3 linked regions of the Alligator mississippiensis genome follow. The protein of the gene in region 2 binds, or shares a complex with, the protein of the main gene of each other region. Links are inferred from orthologs where the notes say so. Each region holds a gene or a part of one and is shown on either strand. Other genes may lie near its edges.

Region 1 (7,041 bases), on a different chromosome or scaffold from region 2:
TACTGTGAAAAATGTCTTCCTAATATCTAACCTAAATCCACTCTCAACTAATTTACACCCGTTATTCCTAGTCACTCCCTGGGGCACCTTAGTAAACAGCGCTTCCTCTATTCCCCACTGACCTCCCCTAATAAATTTACAGGCAGCCACAAGATCTCTCCTCAGCCGTCTCTTGTGAAGGGTGAAGAGATTCAGCTCTCTCAACCCCCCCCCCAGTAGGGTTTATCACGAAGGCCACTAATCATGTGAGTGGTCCTCCTCTTGACCCTCTCCAGATTCCCCGTGTCCCTCTTGAAGTGCGGTGTCCAAAACTGGACACAGTACTCCAACTGCGGCCTGACCAGTGCCACATAGAGGGGGGGTATCACCTCCTTTGTTCTATTAGTCATGCACCTGCTAATTCACGACAAGGTGCGATTGGCCTTGTTTATTGCTCTCATTACACTGCCGGCTCATGTTCATCTTGGAGTCAATTATGACTCCAAGATCCCTCTCTGCCTCTGAGCTGCTGAGAAGGACACTCCCCAACCTATAGGTGTGCTGGGGGTTCCTCATTCCCACATGGAGTACCTTACATTTATCTTCATTAAATTGCATCCTATTTCTCTCTGCCCATTGATCCAACCTGTCCAGGTCAGCCTGAATCTGCTGCCTGCCCTCCGGTGTACTAACTTTGCCCCATAACTTGGTATCATCAGCGAACTTGGAGAGGGTGCTCTCCACGCCCTCATCCAAATCGCTGATGAAGGTATTGAATAATATCTGTCTGAGGACCAAACCCTGCGGGACCCCACTGCCCACCTCCCTCCAGGCCAAGAAGGAACCATCCACCACCACTCTCTGGGTGCGGTCCCTAAGCCAGTTGGCCACCCACCTGACCGTGTAGGCATCCACTCCGCATTCTGCTAGCTTCCCAATGAGGATAGGGTGCGAAACTGTGTCAAAGGCCTTCCTAAAGTCCAGGAAGATGACATCAGCCTCAGCTCCCACATCCAGGCAGTGTGTGACCTGGTCATAGAAGGCTGCAAGTCTTGTCAGGTAGGATCTACCTGTGACAAACCTGTGCTGGTTTCCCCTCAGCATCGTTTCCCCTGCTGGGCCTGCACAAATGTGTTCTTTGATTATTTGCTCTAGCATTTTCCCAGGAATAGAGGTAAGACTGATTGGTCTAAAGTTACCTGGCTCATCCCTTCTCCCTTTCTTGAAAATGGGCACCACATTGGCCCTTCTCCAGTCCTCAGGGACCTGGCCGGAGCACCATGAGTGCTCGAACAGCTGTGCCAGCGGCTCAGCTATGACACTGGCCAATTCTTTTAGCAGCTGTGGATGGAGGTCGTCCAGGCCTGCTGACTTGTACCCATCCAGCTCCTCCAGGAGCTCCTTAACTATTTCAGAACTAACCGTAGGCAGACTGGTGCCATGTGGACATCCATCAATGATTGAGGTGGGGGAACTGACTTGGTCGGTACATAGAAATACTAAAGTGAATAACTCATTGAAGAGCTCTGCTTTTTTCCCCATGTCAACCACCAACTGTCCTGATTTGTCTTGCAGGGGCCCTATGTTGCTGCCATCAGTTGAGAGGTGCCAGACAAGTGAAAGTCTGACTTTACACTCCAGCATCAGAGGGTGCACAAGATAGTGAGTCTCTCCTGAACACTAGCAATAAGGAATAGCCCATCTCCAGGTCAGACAAGTGCTACTTTTTTTCTCTCCAGGAGCTTTAGCGCATGATCAGGGCAGTAGCAGCACAACATGTTGGTGTTTTGAAAAGACGAAAGTTAAGAGAAACTTGATTCACTCCCCCCCCCCCCCCCCACACACACACACATACATTTTGATACTTAGCAGGAAAAGTTGGAGAATAACATGACACATCACACATATATGATTAGGCTGGCTTCTGGAGGCCCTGCATGTGGCAGCGGCCTCATTTGCTGTAGATACCTAGTAGGAGACAGTTCTTCTATGAAGATCTTGTACTCCAAATAGTTGCAGACAGATTGTTAGAAGAAAATGAAGCCACAGAGATGGAAATGATTTGTACTTCCCAGCAGGGAAAATTACCCAGTACTGAGCTTGGTGCTGCTGTGGCTAAGCTGTAGCCAGTACTCACTAAGCTGTAGCTAGTACTTGGGTATGCTTCTAGCACTGTCTTCAGTGTAGGCATCTGCAGTGAAAGGCCTGGAAGATAATCTGATATTCTGAGTCTTCGTCTAGCACCTTATCCACTGCATAATGGACAAAATCCTGATCACTTCTTCAAAAATAAGGATTGACACGTTTGAGACAGCAAGGGCACCTCTCAGAATAATGGAACCTAAGAATAGCATTAGAAGGGCTGTATCTTTTCTTGCTTCCCCTTGTCTCCCACTCACCTTCTGTCATCTGGGTCTTATGAGCACATTAATGTGTTCTCTTGGAACTCCATGAGAGAGAGAGATGTTCTTTTATGTTCGAAGTGCCTTTTCTCTGCAGTGATAAAGCTTCCACTGTGGTTTGCACGGTGTGGGGCAGGAATATGTCTTTCTTTGTGAAGATGCATTAAATGAAACATTCTCAAGTACAAAAAAAGAAAGGATGTAGAGGCAAGTTCACATCTTGTACCAGCAAGGACAATGGCACTTAGATCTACCATGCTATATAGCCTCAAAAAGTGTTTTAAGTAAGTATAATTATTCCCACTTTACATGTGTGAACACTAAGGTACAGAGAAAAGAAGTGACTTGCCCCAGATCACGTTTGCCAGAACCAGGAATAGAAACCAGGTTTCCTGAGTTCTTAGGCAAGTGTTCAGTCCTCCAAGTTACCCTGCCTTTTTCTTTTCTCTCATGACTTCAGTGATGTTAGGATCAGAGCACATCTGCACTGAGAATACTGGCAATTGCTGTCAGCTGCCCCACCTCCATCTTGCAGCAGCAGATGGTGGGTAGGATGCTGCTTTCATCTCTCCTCCCCGTCTAGCATGTCCCAAGAGGCTCCAAGGAGGGATCAAAGCTCTGCTGTGCGGGGTGCTGTACAAACAGCACAGAAAGGTGGTCACCACCCCAAAGCTCTTGCAGTCTGCTTTTGAGGCTCGGTCATGTTGGACACTACATAGATGGAGGCCTAGGAATGTTAGTTGTCTTGTAGCAGGGATAACCCTCCTCTTGGTCCTGTGCTGAAGTCACTGAGGTCCTGCCTGAGAGACACAGGGCGCACCAAGCACGCAGCCCGTGCAGGCCTGATGGGAGACCAGGCCTGAAAAAGCACCGATGTCAGACAAGAAATTTAAGGCAGGAAAACGTGCTTGCATGACAGAGCTGCTAAACAGCTCTTCTCTGGCATGCTCTCCGTGTACCCGCCAGATGGTGGCAGCTTTTCTAGTAGCCCAGTCGTTCTGAAGCTTTCTAGAGTCTGGGCACCCCCAGGAACTTGTGCCAACTGAGTGGCTCATCAGTTCAAAAGCCCGTGATGTGTGTCTGACGGCGCTTGCCTCTTGCAGAGGGGCCAGGCAGTGGGTGGAGGGGGGTGGTCCTCGCCTGCCCTTGCACTCGCTGCAGGCACCTTCAGGGGGTCTCAGGCACCCCAGGGCACCCCCTCCCCTCCACTCCCCATCAGTACATCGCCAGAGCGCCACCGCCACCCTTGGCGAGCCCAGCCCTGCCTGTAGCCCTGGAGAGGCCGCAAAGCCCTGGTGCTCTGGGCACCTTGCTCCGGTTTCACCGAGACCAGCGTGTGGCCCCGGCTGGGCGGCCCGCAGCCCTGCAGCGTCTTTGACCTTGAGGGGCGCCGCGAGGCCGCGGGCTCCCTCAGGGCGCGGGGCTGCAGCCCCTGGGCGCCGCGCACCCACCGGGACTGGCGCGGAAAGCCCCGGCCCCGGCCCGCACGCAGGAGGCGCGGGCAGGCCCCGCCGCATGCAGCAGCCTCCCCCGGCTCCGCTTTGGGGCGGGGCGGGGCGGGGCGGCGCGGGGCGGGCGGCGGCCGAGGGCGAAGCAGCAGCATCAGGGGGAGGCGGCGGCGGAGGAAGGAGGGCCGGCGGCGGCAGCGGCGGCGGCGGTGGGATGGTCCGGAAACCCCGTGATAAAAAGAGGCAGCGGGGAGAGCGGGAAGCGCCGGAATCGTCCTCCCCGCGCTGCGCACGCTGCAGGCGCCCGCGCCCCGGCTCCATGTGACTGCCCCGCACCACCGCATGGACCCGGCCCGCGGCAGCGGCGGACGCTGAGCGGCTCGGCCGGGACAGCACAGCACAGCGCAGCGCAGCGCGGCGCAGCGGCTCCGCGCCGGCCGCAGCGGCAAGGAAGGTACCTCCAGGGCCCGGGCGGGCGCGGGGAGCTGTCCAGCCCCGGGTGCTGGCGGCGGGCGGTGCCCGCGAGACGGCGCTTCAAAGTGCGGCCGCTCGGGCGCGGGCTGCGGTGCGGGCTCGCGGGGGTCCTGCTCCGGGGGGCGCGGGCTGAGGGAGGGTCCCGCTTCCCGCGCTGCCCTCGGCCCGCGGGGGCGCTCGCTGGCCGCCCTCCCTCTGCCCGGCCGGCTGGGGCTCGGGGCCGGGGCGCGGCGCGGCGCGGGGGCCCGAGCGCCTCACCTTGAAATGCCCCCTCGGCTCCGCTGCGGAAACGCGGGAGCGGTGCAGGGTTAACCCTTGCCCGGCCGGCCGCGTCCCGGCGGTGCCCCGCGGCGCGAGCAGGCTGTGCGGGCAGCGCCGCGGGGCTCCCCTGTCCCGTGGCCCGCGGCTCCCACCACGACCTCGTTCACCTTGACTAGCACCTGGCTCCTGCGTGCGGGACTCCCGCCCAGCCGGAGCCTCCCCACCTCACTGCAGAGCTGGGGGGCGGTGCTACCCAACGGAGCAAAACTTGAGCCGGCAGCTGAGCTGCCCTGGAAGACGAGGACAGCAAGCCGCTAGAAAGGCCACCCAGGGCAGCACAGAGAGAGACACAGAGAGATGCTGTCTGCCTGCCGGTCCCAAAGACAGACCCCCGTCTCTTTTGTTTTGTTTTCTTGTCTTGCCCATTCCTTGTAGGTGACCACCCCGGGACTTGGTTCTGTTCATCTTGCATGTGAGATCTGAACTGGAGCGGAGGAATCTAAAGCCATCACCATGGATTTTGTCATGAAACAAGCTTTAGGAGGTAAGCCTAGTTTTGTGCATGTCATGCAGCAGATCTGATAAGGGCTTGGGTTCTCTCTGTCACTTCGTCGCTGTCCCCTCACTTTTTCACGTGCGTCTGCAGCACACCCGGGTAGGAATTTTCCCCTTTAAAATCACATGGGAGAATTCACTGGAGAACCCCAAATGCAGTGCCACTGAGCAGATGAAGCAATATTGCATTGCCACAACTTATTTTCTTTTGAATGCGTCCTGCAAATGTCTTCACAATATACCAAACATTCTGGCACTCATACATCTGGCAAAGCAGCAAGGAGTACGTTTACTGCTTTGAACTCCAGGGGGCAGCAGGAAGTGGAGTACCATAGGACCTGGTTCAAGTCAATGGGAATTTTTCCACTGACTTCAATAGACTTTGAATTGGGTCCATAATCCATATGGCCCTGGGTGCCCCAGGCAAGCAGACACATTTTAATCTCTAGCAGCTGGTCACCCATACATATTGTTGCTCACAATAGTATGCTGCCTTCAACGACTATGATTGTTTCAACCTGGTGTGCTAGTTATAGATCTGCTTGCTATTAGCAGATTTTACATATCTAGAGTAAGGCCAAACTAAGTGGCAAAATTCAATATGTGAGATCTCACCCTGAATTCTATTACAGGCATGAAGCTCTGTTCAAATTTTGACTTAAAGTCAAATAGTGCAGATATTTCAAACTGCGCACAAGACTAGTCAGGTTTCTAGGACTACTGCAACAGAGAGATCCACTGATCTGAGCCAAAGACCTTTCTCCAAAGGTGTGCTGTTAGAGCCTGATCTTTAACATTGCATAAACACAGCTCCTATTGCATGTAATAAACCTGTCTAATTATACAATGCAAACAACAAAATGAAATAAAAGCACTCATGATATTAATAAAGGAATTCCCTCATTCTGTTGGCATTATGCTGCCTCTGTGACCCATTCTGATTCAGCAGAAATGCCACAAGTCGCATATTTGATATTGCTGGCTGTATGTTAGGTTCATGGGATATTAAGGCCTAATTGGAGGCCAGTGGTACAATTTAGATTTATTCATTTTGTTTCTTATCTGTTCTTTTTTACTTTAGATAAATTATAGTGTCATCAGACCTACTGCAGTTATTTTGTACTTGTTATTGATATCATTTGCTGTTTAAACTGATGATAGATTTTTACCACAAGTCGCTTTTCGTTCTAAGAATATTCCGTATTTACCTATAAAATGCAATAAAGAAGCCATTTTAGATTGAAAAAATAGAGCAATAAAATGCCTGACTCTGCATTGAGGGTAAAAAGGTTACATTTTAATTTCTTTTTCTTCACTTTAATTTCTTATGGGTTTCACCTGCCGGTTAGGTAGACTATACCTAAGCACATAGTTGATACCAGGGACTTGCATGTTGCTTACCAGTGTGTTGCCATATTTAATTTAAAATTCAATGCACACTTTAAAAGGGAAATAATTTTACTGAGTTCTGCTACGCTTACTCAAGCTGAATAGTATCAGTAGTATCCCATTGAAATTAATGGGATTACTCACAGAATGCAGTACTCAGCAGTGCATTTATGGGTGGGAGAATCAGACTTGTTGGACCACTTACACTGATTAAAGGTGGCATAATTTTTCCCTTGCTGGAGGAAGGAGAATATACAGAAGAAAAAATATGAAATGTTTTATGATGTGGAATTGTACTTAATACATAACAATTAAGGTGCACAGCCGTAACTCTGGATTTGAAATTACTTAGAAGGAAGTGATTGCCCATGGAATAGCTAAGGATCAAAGTCCAGCCTGGCATCAATCCCAACAAAATGCCATGTGCCAATCTCAATATTTGCATTATGATGTTAGCATTTAAAAAAGCAGTATTTTACGATTGTCGGCTGTCTGTGGTTTTGACATTTTTGAGGTGTCAAGGACATACTGCT
Region 2 (7,670 bases):
CGCATGAGAGTCCCAGACGCCGGGGTTCTGTGTGCACAAAATCCCGCACACCTGGGTTCCATGTGAACGTGCGCAAGTCCCGCACACCTGCATTCCATGTATGCACATGTAAATCCTGGACACCTGGGAATCCTGGCTGCCTGGGTTCCGTGCGTGAGGGGCCCGGACGCCTGGGTTCCGTGCGTGAGGGGCCCGGACGCCTGGGTTCTCCAGGAGTTGAAGGGAGTCCAGATCAATTCAAAGGCTTCCCCCAAACCTAGGCAGAGGGCAGGGACCCCTTCCTGAGGCTGGAGCAGGCCCCAGCTGTAGTTGGAGGACAGTGATGGTGCTGCCAGGGTAGGCCCCAATGCTGCCACCTCTGGCTGAGGCAGCAGCATCCCCAGGTGGGCTGGACAGAGGGACCAGAGGCAGTGCTCTCCACAGGACACCAATTTATTGTACATTTTCACAGCATCACGTCGCTCCCGGCTCCTCCGCCCCTGCCTGCCTGCCTGCTGAGGGGGGCCCCAAGAGCAGGGGGGTGACAGTGACACCCACCCCCCTGCTGGGGGCCCAGCCCCCCTCTCCCCCTTTCCCTCCGCCTGCCCAGGGGGTCCCCAGTGCCACGTCCCTCCACGCAGCAGCGGCGGGGATGCCCCTGGGCTCAGCCCCCCCGGAGCGCGGGTCCAGCGAAGTCATCACAGGGACAAAGTCACGAGTCACATCTGACATCTGCTAGGGGGGGGGCACTCACCACCACAACACACGAAGGGGGGCAGGATTGGGGCACCCCCTGCTGGCCACCAGGGACCCTAGTGCCCCCTGACATTGGCCACCAAAGGATTAACAGGGGACCCCCCCAAGCCAGGCCAGCCCCCCAACACCGGGGGGGGGGGGTGGAATGTGACCCCTCTAAAAGGGGTAGTTTGGGCAGGCTAGATCTGTGTGGCAGGAAGAAAATGCCCCCATTAAGGGGGTGGGGTGCAGGGGGGGCTTCCCCCACGCCCCTTGGTCTAATCAGGAATGTCACAGAAGCTGGGGGGATGGGGAGGAGACCGCGGCCCGGCAGGAGATGCAGCCACCTCTGAGGTGGGACAAGGGGGGCAGTATCATGGAACCCCCTCCCCCACTAGGGGGGTGGCTGGGGGGGCGGGGCAATTAAAAGACAATTAAAAACACAGCAGGGGAGGGGAGGGACACCTAAAAACCTATTAATAAATCTACAAACGGACAAAATAGAGCAGCTCTATGTGTGTATAAATAACCCGGTATGTACAGACGGCCAGGGGGGGAGGGGGGGCGCGGAGGGGGCACACGCACACGCACGCACACGCACGAGGGCTGGAAGAGACGGCCGGGCCAGGCTGGGCCGGCACCACACGGGGCCTCTAGGTGCTGAAGTACACTGCAAGCAGAGGGCAGCCGTCAGCTCCACGGGGCAGGGCTGAGGTACATGCAGCTGGGTCTGGGGTGGGTCCTGGCTGAGTATAACAGGGCTGTGACCCAGGGTTGAGATGCAGCTGGCTCTGGGGCAAGTCATGGCTGAGTATGACAGCCCCTGACCCAGGGTTTGATGCAGCCGGCTCTGGGGTGGGTCCTGACTATGTATAAAAGGGCTGTGACTAAGGGTTGAGATGCAACTGGCTCTGGGGTGGGTCAGGCCGAGTATAACAGCCCCTGAGTCAAGGGTGAGATGCAGTCAGCTCTGAGGTGGGTCACAGCCAAGTATAACAGACCCTGGCCCAGGTCTGAGATGCAGCCAGCATTGGGGCCCCTGCCAGGGCTTCCTGGACCACCCCCCTCCTCCCCCAGCAGGACTCACCGATGATGATGATGAGGATGATGGCGCATATCACCCCCAGGATGATCATCATCTGCAGGAGAGAGACCGTGAGTGCAGCAGGAAGAAACGGGGCTGAGTCGGGAGTGAGGGGCACTGGCAGGGCTAGGGGGGCAGGGGGCTGCAAGTCAGGAGCGAGGGGCTGCAGCGGGGCCGTACCTTGAGGTTCTTCCACCAGTACTTGCGCTTGAGCTTGGCGGCGCTGGTCTCAAACTGGGAGGCGCCAGCCTGGAGAGCGTCCGCGCGGTCATCCAGCTCCGACAGCTTCTGGTCCCGCTCCAGCACTTTGTCCACGTTCACCCGCATGATGTCCACCACCTGCGGGGCCGGGCAGGGCGGAGGTGTCAGGCCTGGGGCTCCCTACCTCCCCCCCACACTGGACCCAGGTGTCCAGGTGCCGTCCCACCCCCAGCCTATGACTCACCTCATCCACCTGGGCCTGGGTCTGCTGCAGCCTCCGGTTACTGGTGAGGTTGGGGGGCGGCGGGGGCGGGCCCCCCCCTTCTCCGGCGGCAGGGGGGGCGGTGGCAGCAGCGGGGGCCGACCTGGGCAGGGGGGAGAGCTCAGGCCCTGGCCAAGGGGCCCACAGTGCCCCTCACCCCCGCCGCCCCCATGGGCCCTGCCCTGCGCCAACACTCAGAGTCCCTGCGCTGCCCGGGGCGGGGCGGGGTGGGGTGAGGGGGGGCCAGTCAGGGTGACCCCAGGCCCCTGGGCTGGGGGCCGCACTTGAACGAGGCCAGAGGGGCCCTGTGACACGGTGGGCCGAGCCCCTACAGCCCCTGGGGCACGAGGCCTGCGGTCCCATGGGGGCAAAGCCCGCGAGCCCCGGGTCCCTTTGGGGGCAGCGGCTGTGGGGGCTGGTGGGCGCAGCCCCCGTGGGGGTCGGGCCCCCTGGTCCCGAGCGCGGCACTGGCGTCACGGCCCCGCCCCCCCCGCTAGAAACACCCGGGGGGGCCGGACCCCGGGGCGACCCCCGCTCCCCTCCCCTCCCCCGGCCCGTTGGCGCTCACATGTCCGGCGGCGGGACGGGACGGGGCGGGGCGGGACGAGGCGGCGCGCTGGGCCGGGCCGGGCCGGGCGGGCGGTGCGGGGCCGGGGCCGGGGCCGGGCCCGGGTGCGGGGCGCGGGCTCGGTCGGTGCCGGAGCGAAGATGGCGGCTGCTCTGCGCGCACATCCGGGCACCGCGGGGGGGCGGGGGCCATGGCAACAGCCCCACTGCGGGGGGGTAGTAGGGCCATGGCAACAGCCCCCGGGGCAGGGAACGGGGCGACCATGGCAGCAGGCCCGCAACGAGGGTCCCTGATGGAAACTACAGCACCAGCCCCGAGGAGCAGCAGCAGCAGCAGCAGCAGGGGGAAGTCATTGCAACAGCCCCTGGAAGGGCATGTCCCCCCTCCCCCGCAGGCTCCTTCCCTCCACCCCAGGGGCCTGCGAGGGGGGATCTTGCCCCCCCCCCCCAGCAGGACTGCGCCCCCGGGCCATGCAGGTGCACACACGTGTGCTAGCAGTGTGCCCACCCAGGGGCCCCACCCCGTGCCCCATGCCCCCCCAGAAAAACAGCACCTGAACCCAGCTGTAAAAATCAAGACTTTTATTAAACACAAAAAGATGACAACATGGGGGGGAGCCCCAGCCCACGGGGGTAGGACCAGGCCCCCACAGGGGAGCAGGGGGCTAGGGGGCATAGGCAGGGGGGAGCACGCGGCGGGAGTTGGCCCGCACCCAGGGGTGCTCGAGCACAGCGCGCAGAGGCAGGCGCTCAGCCGGGACGTGCCGCAGCAGCTTGCCAATGAGGTCGCGGGCACCCTCGGGCATGGTAGGCGGGAAGCGCAGGTCCACCTGTGGGAACACACATGGGGCCGGTGTCACCTGCGCGTAGCGCCCCACCCCCAGCGCAGGGGTGCAGCTGGTTCTGGGGTGCGGGACACACACGGCCCCGGTCCCCAGCACCAATGCTGCCACCCCGGGGGTTGGGCATAAAGCTTGCCCCCTCTACACATCCCTGCTGCCACGATGCAGCCAGCTCTGGGTGGGACACGTGGGGGCTGGCCGACCTTGGTGATGCGGCGGTAGGTCTCAGTGTGGGAGGCACTCTCGAAGGGCGGGTGCCCAACCAGCAGCTCGTAGCACAGCACGCCGGCGCACCACAGGTCCACCTTCTCGTTGTGCGGCTGCCCCTCAATCATCTCAGGCGGCAGGTAATCCAGTGTCCCACACATAGTCTTGCGCCTACGGGGGCAAGAAGGGGCTGTGAAAGCCTGGTTTTGGGGAGCCCCAGCCCACCCCCTGCGCTGCCCCCGCCCCCCTGGCACTGACCGCAGCGAGGGCGCATGGACCGACCAGCCGAAGTCAGCGATCTTGAGCTCGCCCTTGAGGCCCAGCAGCAGGTTCTCAGGCTTGATGTCGCGGTGGATCACCTTCTTGGCATGGCAGTAGATCAGCGCGTCTGCCAGCTCCTCCATGATCTGGGGGGGGGGTAAAGGGAGGGGGGGGTCACATAAGGCCCCCCGACCCTAGGGGGTCAGGCTAGCCTGCACCCCAGCCCCCCAAAATTACCTACTCCCCTCCTGGGGAGACCCCCCCCAGCCTCCTCGGTGCCTGCCATTGCCCAGAGCCAACCCGGCCTGCAGCAGGAGGGTGCCCCCACCCCCCGGCTGACCGTGGCACTGCGCTGCTCATCAAAGCGGCGGCACTTCTGCAGCTCCTTGTAGAGCTCGCCGCGTGGCGCGTACTCCAGGATCAGGTACACGCGGCGCCGGTCGTGGAAGTAGTTGTAGAGCCGCAAGATGTTGGGGTGCCTGGTGGGATAAAGAAATAAAGTGAGGAGGAGGTGAGACCACCCCCACCCCTCGCACCCTAGATGGAGCAGGGGACAACGGGGTGGCGCAGTCCCGTTGTGGCGCACCGGAGGTGGGCCTGGATCTCGATCTCGCGGCGCAGCTGGTGCTCCACACCCTCCTTCTCCATCTGCGACTTGAAGAGCACCTTGAGGGCTACGAGGAAATGCGACCCCTTCTCCCGCGCCAGGTACACGTTGCCAAACTTGCCCTTGCCCAGCGGGCGCCCGATCTCGAAGTCCTCAATGCTCAGCGTCTTTCTGGGGGGGAAGCAAGTGTGTGTCTGGGGGGGGGGTACAGCACCCCTCACACCCTAACACAGCCAGGGGCTTCCCAAGGGGGCATCAGCCTCCAGGACTGGTTCAAGGGGCAGTGCCACAGGGGCATCTGCCCCTCCCAGTGGAAGTGGGGGAGAATCCCAGCCCAACATACCCCCCACCCCAACATGGGCACTTACAGGGGGGGCTGCGGAGCGACCTGGGCGCCAGCCTCGACGGGCACCCGCCCGGGCACAGCTGCAGAGAGCAGAGTCAGTGCAACCCCAGCCGACCCCTACCCCCCCACCCCCCCAGCATGTGTGCACCCCCCACCTCGCCCCACCAGCACCTGCGAGGAGGGGGGGCCCAGCGGGTCGTGGCCCCGTCTTGCCTGTGGCGCGCTGGGCCAGCAGGGCCTCGGCGGGTGTCTCCTTGCGCGGCACACGCTGGGGGCCAGGCGCACCATACTGTGAGGGGGACACGGGGGGGGGGGGTGAGGTGGAGATGCCCCCCAGCCCCCTCCCCAGAGCCCCCCGCTCACCGCCGGGGCAGGAGCAACACGGGGCCCCAAATCGCAGCAGGATCCGCCAGCCCCGGAGGGAGCAGGGCCGTGACCCCCCAAAAGGGCAGAGACCCCCCAGGTGCTCACCTTGGCCAGGCTGCCCAGGGCCCCGGGGTTCACGTTCTCCTTGTGGGCCATCCTGGGGGGCGGGGGGCGTCAGTTCCATGGGGCCCCTCCGTCCCCCGCCCGGCGGAGTCAGGAGACCCCCCCCCGTGCGCCCGCATCACCCGCCCCGCGGGCCGGGCGTATCTTGTCCCCCCAACCCGGACCCCGATGCCAGCGCCAGGAGCAGCCCCGTCCCCTCCGCACGCCGCTCCTGCCCCGCGGCCCCTCATTACGCCCCCAGTACCTCCGCGTTCCCCTACCCACGGCTGCTGCTGCCGCCTCGCGCTTCAAATCCGCCCCGCCCCGCGCTCCCATTGGCTGCGACGGCCGCCGGGTCCTGGCCCTAGCCTGCGGCTCCCGCCGTTTCATTGGCCGCGCGCTCCCTCCGCCCTTCCCCCTTGGAGGCCGAGCCCTTTGCCGCCTGTGCTCCCATTGGCTCCTGCGGGAGGTGGCGGCTTCGGATTGGCGGCGCGGCGAGGTAGAAGTCCCGCCTCCCTCCGGGCGGAATCAGGCGCGCGCAAAAGAACTGGAGGGGCGGAACCTGGTGCGGGTTGGCCGAGCTGCCCGTCAATCCGAGCGGGGCGGGGGCGGAACTCGTCACGGGAGCTGGTCTGCCTGGTAACGGCGGAGAGGAGGCAGGGGGCGGGTGTTGAGTTGAGCTCAGCCAACGGCGGGCCGGGAGCTGGCGCCGCCAGCCAATCAGAGACGGGGCGAGGTGACTCCGCGTGCGAGGGTGCCGAAGCCGCTTAGCAGAATTGCCCTTTCGCAGAAAAGCGGCATTGACCGTTGCGGCGTAGCGGGGCGCGTTCTTCGGCTGGGTTTGTTTGGGGGCCGCTCGGGCACTCAGGTCCCCGAGTCCCTGCCCCCCGCCCCCGAAAACCCGGGTGCCCGCCCCCTGGACTGTGAGGGCCCCTGGGGGCGTCTGGCTCCAGCCAGGGGAGCCCCCCTCCCCGGTGCCGGGATGGCGCAGGAGGGGCTGCAGGGCCCTTTATGGGACCGGGAGACTCCCCCTCCTTGCTCCTGCAGCCGCACAGCCAGGGCAGGCGAAGCTCGGGGCAGCCGAGGCCTCGGGCTGGGCCCGCGGGGCGCCGGCCGTCGCAGGGTTTGGAAGCCTCTGAAGGCGCGGCGGGGCGGGGGGACACGGGACGCTTGCCGGTAGCAGGGCCACGTGTGGTCCTTGCGTGATTCGAATGGATTTGGGCCTGATCGGGCTAATTTGACCCGGGACACGAAAAAACCTCCTTAAAAATCAAGAAGAAATCCAGTGCTCGGGCCGGCGGAGGTTGCCGCGGCGCGGGGCGGGCGGGCGTTTTGCGCTCTGCGGTGCGAGTGAAGGTCTGTGATGGCAGGTGACTAGGTGGAGGTGCGAATAACTCTTACTTTTACGCATATACTAGCCAATTGCCTGTCAAGAATGACGGGGGTGGAGGGACAGGCGGGGACAGCCCTCCCCCCGACCTGCTCCTGCTTCCCTTCTGCTGCTTGGGTCTTGCCTGCTCCCCTCCCCACCACGGTGGGCCCGGGCCGCTCCCACACCCCGCATTACCTGCAGGGAGCGGGGGGACGGGACCCTGCCGGCCTCGCCCCCCACCCCCCTCCGTCCAGGCCGAGGGCTGCCTTCTGTGAGAATGTTTCTTTGCACTCTGATTGGCTGTTTGTCAGCCAATCAGAGCACAAATAAAGTGTTACAGGCAGGCAGACAGACAGACTTAGGCTTTTATAATATTTGAATAAAAACATACTTTTCTAAAAAAAAATTGTTTTAAATCCACCGCTTAGGCTCCACTCTCATGGGTCTTGCTGCCTTGCGGAGAGGCTGTGCAGCCACATGCACTGCTCCCATGAGGAGAAGCACTGCTCTGCTCTCCAGCCTGGATTCGTCCCAGCTGCTTTTACTTGCCCTTTCTTCTGCCGACCTTGCCATTTCCTTCCAGGGGCCGATCCCACCCTCCTCCCCAGCCCTGGGCTCCTGTGTTCCAGGGATGTGTATGGGCCACAGTTGTGCCCCATGAATGGAGCCTGCGAGCTGTCCCACTGCCCCGCCATGGGGTCGGCTCTGCCCCTGCCCAGCCTGGCAGCCCTCCACAGCA
Region 3 (7,432 bases), on a different chromosome or scaffold from region 2:
TACAAGGTAAGTAGAAGCTCTATTCTGATTTTCATTGTATAAAACTTAAACTTTTTTTAAAATTACATGCCTATTATAATGAAATAGTTATTGCAACATTGCTTAAGCTTCATATATTTGAAAGCCAGATAAACCATTAGGTCTCTAATATGACCTTCTGCAAAATCCAAGTCATAGAACTTCATTCGGTTACCTCTGCATTGAGTTACTTTATTTAGCTAAAACATATCTTACAATTTTACATTCAATCTTGAATTTAAGATAATGAATCTGCCATAGCAAGCTTTAACTTCCTGAAACTATGCTGAACAAAGCTAAAGTTTTAACACTGCATTCATTTATAATGAAATATAAAATTTAAGCTGAAAGAAAAATTCACAAACTTTACGTCTTTCATGAAGATATGGTACCTTTGATGAACTTTCCCCATTTCTTTGACAACGGTTACGTTCCTGGATCTTTTCAGCAACCTCTTGTGCAATTTGACAAGTGGAATCATACATCGACAGCCTAAAAGTAAAAAAGATCTAAGTTTAAGAAAAGTTCTCCAAGTGACAACCACTGCCAGAGTTCCTGGTTTCAATCTCTCTTCTGTTGGTCAAGACTGGGCTTTGGGTAGATTTTCCTTTTCAGAAAATTTTTAAGGTTTGAGATACTAAAAACAAAGGAGCCAAACACAAAGTAGTTTCACTTCTAAAATTAAAGGCATCGGTAGTAACATTTGTTGAAAATGTCACTGCCAACTTTCAGAATCACTGGAGTAGCCACAGTATGGGGAAGTGCTGGAGCCAGCAGATGAGGAGTTAGGGTCATGGGTGAGGCAGGCAGAGGGCAGCCAGGGCTGTATCAGCCCTCACTTGCTTTTCTGCCACCAATTGTTATGTCTACTGGGGCCCAAGGGCCCCAGATTCTGAGGCAGGCCACTCTCTCAGGCCATTCCCTACAACTTCCAGGTGCCCACAAGCAGCCCAGTGGGCTGGATCCTACCTATGGGCACATGTTTGAGACCCCTGCTTTAAACCAGCATTACATTTCTGGTCCTCTGATGTGTGGTGCAACTTGTGGCTAACTCTAATCAGAGACCTCAAAAGTGCTCAACCAAGAACCCCCTTAGCCACTTCTAAGAAGAATGAGAGCAACAAAGATTGGCAATAATCTTTGTTTAAATCAAATTGGAGCATCTTGTAGAGGGACACATATTCCTGAAGAGACTTTCCTATAGTAAAGTCAAGGGCAGCTCCCATTATACCAGGTACACACAAAAATTCCCATTCTTCCTTAGACTATTTACAACCAGCCTGGTGATGGCTCAGAAGTAAATCAAAAGATATCAGACAAAGTAATTGTGGTATCTGGTTTTTATTTACAGTACTAGCTTGCATTTTTTAATAATCACAGAAAACAATTTTAAGTTATTATATATCACTAATAACAGCTTTTGAGTTACATTTTTCCTATTACAGCATAATCTTAACATAAGTGTGATCCACTAGGACTAACTAGTGGACCTTTTACTGTTAAATCAGCAGAGCTAAGAAGAAAACAACAACACTTAAGAAATGATTTCCATGTAGACCTAGCCCACTGTCTCAGATAGGATGCATTTTGTATCTAACAATCACATGAAGGAGGCATCAAACCCTACCTTGGAAGTGAAGTGAAGGGGGAAAGAGAAAAGGAGGATGGGGCAAGCCAAAAGGATTAAGCATGAAGGGGAATTACTCAAGGCAACTTTGTAGTTAATTTAATTTAATCTCAAATGTTTCTGTCCTGGTTTATGTTGTTTCTTTTCTACACACTGGTAATATCAGTACTTTCCAATGGACAAACTGGCCAATTATAAATAGCTCGTAAGACTGAGCACAATGCCAAAGGTACGTCAGTCTTAACAAGATTCCTCAATAAGTTCCTTAACCAGGATAAGGACCAGCAATGGACGGTGCATGAGACTTCGGATAACCAAAACAGGAAAACTTAACGTGGCCGGGAATAAAACAGAGGTAACAGCTACTTCTCTCCAGCAGAGGTTCCCAAACTTGCTTATTGTGTGTCCCCTTCCAGATTTATCAACATTTTACATTTTCAACCCCTTAAACGCCAATTATACCGAAAATTAAATCTGCCATTACACAGTTTCTCCCCCATACCCCCAGAGACGTCCTGCGTCCCCTCAGGGGTCCACCTACCAGTTTGGGAACCTCTATCCAGGATGGAAGCAGGTGCGGGCAACCCCCACTTAGTGCTCTTAATTTGGTTCCCGAGAAACAGAGCGTTAAACTAAACCGAGAGTATATGACTATCTGAGACAGTGTTTTTAATGACCCAAGACAGCAACCGCAAGCGTTGTAATGAAACTCACTGAGCGCCAAGTGAAATCAGGGATCAATTTTAAATGAGTGTTATAGTGAAACAGCGCTAGGCGAAACAGCGTTAAGTGGGGGTCGCCTGGATTTCAAACGCACACATCTCCGAGAGGCAAACGGGGGTCACAGTTGGAAACCGCTTCAGACCCACGGGCTGCGTAAGTGCTTGGCACGAGAGCAGCACCTAACCCTGACCTCCGCCTCGGCCACCCACGTGCGTCTCTAGGAAGCCCCTGCCCCTCAGGGGCTGCATCCTTCCTTCGCTCGGGGGGGCCGAGGGTGCGCGGAGGACTCCGCTTCGCCTACGAGGGGCCGCGGGGGCAGGGAGGAGAGGGGGTCGGGGGCTTCGCCTTCCCCTTCGCAGCCCCACGCGCCGCTAAGCGGCCCTGGGGGCTCGGCCTCGCGCTGCCCGCGGCGGCTGCAGGGGAAGCCCCTGGCCGCGCTCGCCTCCGCAGTAGTGCCCTGCGCCCGAGACAGACAGCAGCCCCTCCGCAGCCGGGGCCGACGAGCAGCCGCTCCCCTCGGCGGGCGCCGCTCACCAGGGGTCTGGAGCCATCCCCGCGCCCGAGCCCCTCAGCGCCGCCACTGGACACTTCCGGGTCGCATCAGCTGACTACGGCGAGCGCAGAAGCTCAAACCACGGAAAGCGAAGAGCGGCCGTCCGCGTCGCCCCGCCCACGTTCCTTCCCACACTGCGCACAGCCAGGCAGCCGCGCATGCGCACCCCGGTGCCACGTGCAAGGCACGTGGGGCTGCACCGCTGGTTTGCTGCACCATTTTGGCTTCTCAGTGTCTAAGCCGCGCTGCCTCGTGCGGAGCTTTGCCCTGTACCTGGGTGGACTGGTTTTCTTCTCAGGGTTCATCCAGCCCAGTCCCCTGCACGGCCCTATGCAGAGGTCCTAGCTGGCCAGTCCCCAAACTGCTTCATTCACATGCTGCCCATCCCTGGCCCCCACCTCCTGGTCAACCTCCTCCTGGCTCTGGCCCGCTGCTGTGTCTGATGGGGGAAGGAGGGTGCTGGGGGACTGCGGGGCTGCTTACCCTTGCCCTAGTGTGCTCCCATCTCTGAGCAGAGTATCACTGGGCAGTGTCACTGGCTTCTCAGACTCATTTGAGGGCCAGCGGTGGCTGTCCGGTGTGCTCAGCTCAGTGTCCCTGCTCCACACGCTTGTTTTCAACCTCTGACCATGCTCCCATCCCTGCTTTTTATTATTGGTCCCAAGAAATCTGTCGTCCCCTTCTCCTGTGGCCTCCACGCCTAAGGGAAGCCAATGAGTGACTTGGTGGGCTGGGCCCACACATTTTTTAAAGGTGGACAGATAAGCTGACCAGCACATCTATTGCTGTTTTTTTATTATTTGTCCCAAAACGTCCCCTTTTCCTGTAGCCTCCTTGCCTGAGGGAGGCCAATGAGAAACTTGGCGACCTGGGCCCATGTGATTAAAAGGTGTCAAAAAGGCCTGCCCAGAGATCAGCTTTATTGCACTTAAGCTTTCCTTGACATAGGCTCTTGTGCCTGTTTTCCTCAAGCCCCCGCTCCTGGAGTCTTGGGAGTAAGCAGGAGTTTCAGCTTTCGTTTAAAACCAGACGTTCCCAGCCTTTGCGGCTATAGAGGAAGGTTTGCCAGCAGGCCTAGAAGGGCTTAGAAACTGGAAGGCAAGTCAAGAGTTTTGAATTTTAAAAAATATTTACTGTTCTTGAATCAATGTGGTGAGGGGGATAGGACATGACATGGTTTTTGAATGTTTACAGGTAGCAATGCTCAGCCTGCAGAGGGGGAATTGGTACATCAGGGTCAGTCTGATGACGGCCTTGAATATCAGGAAAGAGGTTTCAAGGTGGAATTCAATCCAGTATCAGAGCAGACTGAAAACATAAAACAGGGCAGCGGCTCTGCATGGGGCAGCGCAACCAGTTGCAAAGGCAGTTCCCCAGGGCTGCTGCCCTGGTTGTGTCCCCTCTGTTAGGCTACTGGCGCAGAGGGCAGTGTTGTCAGCAATACGCCTCGTTAGGCAGCAGCCCCATTTACAATCTGAATTGTTTTAAGTCTGCAAAGGGCACAGGGTTCCAATCTTAAATACAGAGATTTGCATAATGATGCAAATTTATGGACAACCACGGATGGAAATTGGTGTTTGTGCACCATGTGCTTGCATAATGCTACAGTGTTTGGGTTGCAAACATTACAAAGGAATGTTTATTTGTTTAATACAATTGTTTTCACCAAATTATTTTTAATTCCATGTAAATGTTCCTAATAAACTCGGTGATCCTTCTGTATGGAAGATAATGTGTCACCTGATTCTTGCCCTTAGCATTTGTAGGACAAATACATTTATGTCAATTTTGCCTTTGAATTTACATAGCTACTATGTAACAGACAAACATTACTTTTTGTTAAATTAAAATTTGTTCAAGCCAATGGGTCTCTCTTACTGCTGGCTCTGTACAAGCCCCTATGGAACTGAGATGCTTTTTGAGCTTATGAATGCTATTATAATACCAGTATTATAGTTTGAATTCAATATTATTGAAACCTGGGGAATGAAAGAGCTGCCCTTTGTGTAAGGTAGTTATTAGAAGCTGTGAAGCACGTTGATGGGACTAGGTAGGACTCTGGGCAAAACATGAAAATGGCAGGGTAAAGGTGCACCTTATAGACCAAGTGAATCAGAGATGTATAAGCTTTCATAAGCAAGAGATGCATGAAGATGAGTCAGGGACATAAGGTACAGAAAGGTTAAAGTGTTCTACCAAAGGCTTTTGTGTATTTTTGGACTTGATATCAAATCAGTGTTCCCTCATTCTTTTATGTAGGAATTGCCCTGTCTGTCCAATGTAGACAGTAGAGAGGCACTGTAGCTAGGTAATGACATTGATAGAGGTGCAGCTGAATGAACCTTGGATGTTATAATCCATATTATTTGGTCCAGTGATGATGTGATATGCATTGATGAGGGTGCAGAGTTTGAATCTGTGTCTGCTGAAAAGACTGGTGCCTCAGAGTAGAGCTTAAGTAATCTGTTGCTTGAAAGACACCATTTGAGGTTGGGGAGCTGTCTGGAAGCCAGGACAGGTTGGTCCCCCATGGCTACCCTAAGATGAGAGTAGTTAGCTATGTTAATGTGAAGTCAGGCAGAAGGCAGGGTAGGTTACAGAGATCTGTAGCATAAGCTTTCCTGTACCCCAAGCTCACTTCATCAGATGCTGTGAAATGCATGGAGCAGCCTACCAAATGGAGAAATTAATTTGAATACAAAGGGGGGTGGGGAGGCAGGGAAGCAGTGCTGGGAGAGTGGGAGAGGCAAACAAGCTATAAACCCATAAAGACAAAGGGGTCACAAAAGCTAATCCAAGAATTGGGATAAATTCCATAATTCTTGTTCAGACCATGCTTAACACAATCTAGTCCGTGAATGATGTCTTGTTCTACTAGTTCCCATTCCAGTTCATCTTTAAAGTTTTGCTGTTTAAGAACAGCTGCTCTGAGGTCAGTGATGAGGTGGTCATCATTTTCCAGGAGGGGTTGAAGGTTATTAATGATGCATCCAAGGTGTTCAAACTGGGGGCTACAGAGGTATGTTGTTACTCTAATCCAGGCCTGTCCATCTTCTAGGGGCAGCTGGGAGCTACATGCCCTATAGGATGCACCGGCAGAGGCCACATGCTGCAGAGGCCACATGGGTGCTGAGGCCATGGGCCCAAGCTGCACACCATGTGCAGACATGCAGGCAGGTGCCTCCCTGCTGCACTGCATGTGGTACTGCACCTCACCTTCAGCTCCCTGGCCACAACCTCCCATGCTGCATTGTTCCACATGGGCACTCTGGACCACCAGCTCTCCTGGCATCATGGGCTGGCTGTATTACCTGACCCTATCCCCTTGGTGGAAGTGGAAGCGGAAGAGGGAGCGGGAGCCTGAGACCCCAGTTGCTGCTTCAGCCAGTGCTGGGGACAGTAGCAGCCAGGTGGGAGTCCAGGGGCTGCATGTTAATCCCTAATGGGCTGCATGTGGTCTGTGGGCTGCCAGTTGGACAGCCTTTCCCTAAAACAAGACACAAGTGATTATTCCCCTCTATTCAGACCGCACTGTGTAAACCACTGTTACAGTCTTTCCCTTAGATGGCCTGTTTCACTGGTTTACACAGTGCTGTCTGCAGATTTTACTGGGCCCTTCTACTCTTTTCCACTGACATGCTTGACTATAAAGTGTCGCGTGGGTCCAGGAGAAATGTTGAGGGTGACATTGGGCTGGCAGTTCATAACATTTGTGAACTGTTGGCATGGATACCATATGCTGATCTTAAAATCAGCTCTTAATGGAGGGAATTTAGAGGTTCTGGATGATTGGAAAAGGGCAAACATGGTGCCCATGTTCAAGAAAAGGAAAAAGGAGGATCCAGGGAACTACAGACCAGTCAGCCTCATCTCAGTCCCTGGAAAAAATCATGGAGCAGATCCTCAAGGAACCCATTTCTAAGCACTTGGAGGAGAAGGTGATTAGGAACAGTCAGCATGGATTCACCAGGGGCAACTCATGCCTGACCAACCTGATTGCCTCCTATGATGAAATGACTGGCTCTGTGGATGTGGGGGAACAGTAGATGTGGTGTACTTTGATTTTAGCAAGACTTTTGATACGGTCTTCCACAACATTCTCACAGGCAAGCTAAGGAGGTATGGGCTAGATGAATGGACTGTAAGGTAGATAGAAATCGGCTGGAGCATTGGGCTCAGAGAGTAGTAATCAATGGCTCAATGTCTTGTTGGCAGCTGGTATCAAGTGGAGTGCCCCAGGGGTTGGTCCTGGGGCCTGTTTGGTTCAACATCTTCATCAACGACCTGGAAGATAGTATAGAGTGCACCCTCAGCAAGTTTGCTGATGACACCAAGCTGGGGGGATTAGTAGATATGCTGAGGGTGGGGCTAGGATTCAGAGTGACCTAGACAAATTGGAGGATTGGGCCAAAAGGAATCTCATGAGGTTCAACAAGGATAAGTGCAAAGTCCTGCACTTAAAACAGAACAATCCCATGCACCAGTACAGGCTGGGGACCGACTGGCTAAGC

The links. Proteins that work in one complex are often made in the same cells at the same time.
Region 1: the proteins of VAMP2 (region 2) and CPLX1 are in contact, whole or in part, in a crystal structure (PDB 1KIL), measured with the Rattus norvegicus proteins. The link is inferred for Alligator mississippiensis from reciprocal best matches to the Homo sapiens genes VAMP2 and CPLX1. Residues at the interface, in NP_036795.1 of Rattus norvegicus: Arg47, Val50, Asp51, Leu54, Asp57, Gln58, Ser61, Asp64, Asp65, Asp68, Ala69, Gln76; in NP_074055.1 of Rattus norvegicus: Leu41, Arg48, Tyr52, Glu56, Arg59, Glu60, Met62, Arg63, Ile66, Arg67, Tyr70, Gly71, Ile72.
Region 3: VAMP2 (region 2) and STX8 share a complex: the UniProt entries of both Homo sapiens proteins name them as parts of the SNARE core complex. The link is inferred for Alligator mississippiensis from reciprocal best matches to the Homo sapiens genes VAMP2 and STX8.

The regions. Positions count from the first base shown.
Region 1 is NC_081826.1:151,083,329-151,090,369, forward strand, and holds the start of CPLX1 (complexin-1), read left to right. Parts: upstream 1-4,032; 5' UTR 4,033-4,283; intron 4,284-4,855; exon of another isoform or gene 4,856-4,999; 5' UTR 5,000-5,077; coding exon 5,078-5,108; intron 5,109-7,041. UniProt on the Homo sapiens protein: Positively regulates a late step in exocytosis of various cytoplasmic vesicles, such as synaptic vesicles and other secretory vesicles.
Region 2 is NC_081838.1:25,064,564-25,072,233, reverse strand, and holds VAMP2 (vesicle-associated membrane protein 2), read right to left. Parts: upstream 3,009-7,670; 5' UTR 2,994-3,008; coding exon 2,830-2,993; intron 2,365-2,829; coding exon 2,244-2,364; intron 2,138-2,243; coding exon 1,979-2,137; intron 1,854-1,978; coding exon 1,802-1,853; intron 1,385-1,801; coding exon 1,368-1,384; 3' UTR 415-1,367; downstream 1-414. Other genes in the region: AURKB (aurora kinase B), read right to left, coding at 3,494-3,658, 3,874-4,048, 4,136-4,284, 4,479-4,617, 4,725-4,916, 5,114-5,171, 5,263-5,380, 5,563-5,614 and 1 more. UniProt on the Homo sapiens protein: Involved in the targeting and/or fusion of transport vesicles to their target membrane. Major SNARE protein of synaptic vesicles which mediates fusion of synaptic vesicles to release neurotransmitters.
Region 3 is NC_081831.1:20,450,561-20,457,992, reverse strand, and holds the start of STX8 (syntaxin-8), read right to left. Parts: upstream 3,010-7,432; 5' UTR 2,920-3,009; coding exon 2,903-2,919; intron 2,837-2,902; exon of another isoform or gene 2,446-2,836; intron 511-2,445; coding exon 411-510; intron 1-410. UniProt on the Homo sapiens protein: Vesicle trafficking protein that functions in the early secretory pathway, possibly by mediating retrograde transport from cis-Golgi membranes to the ER.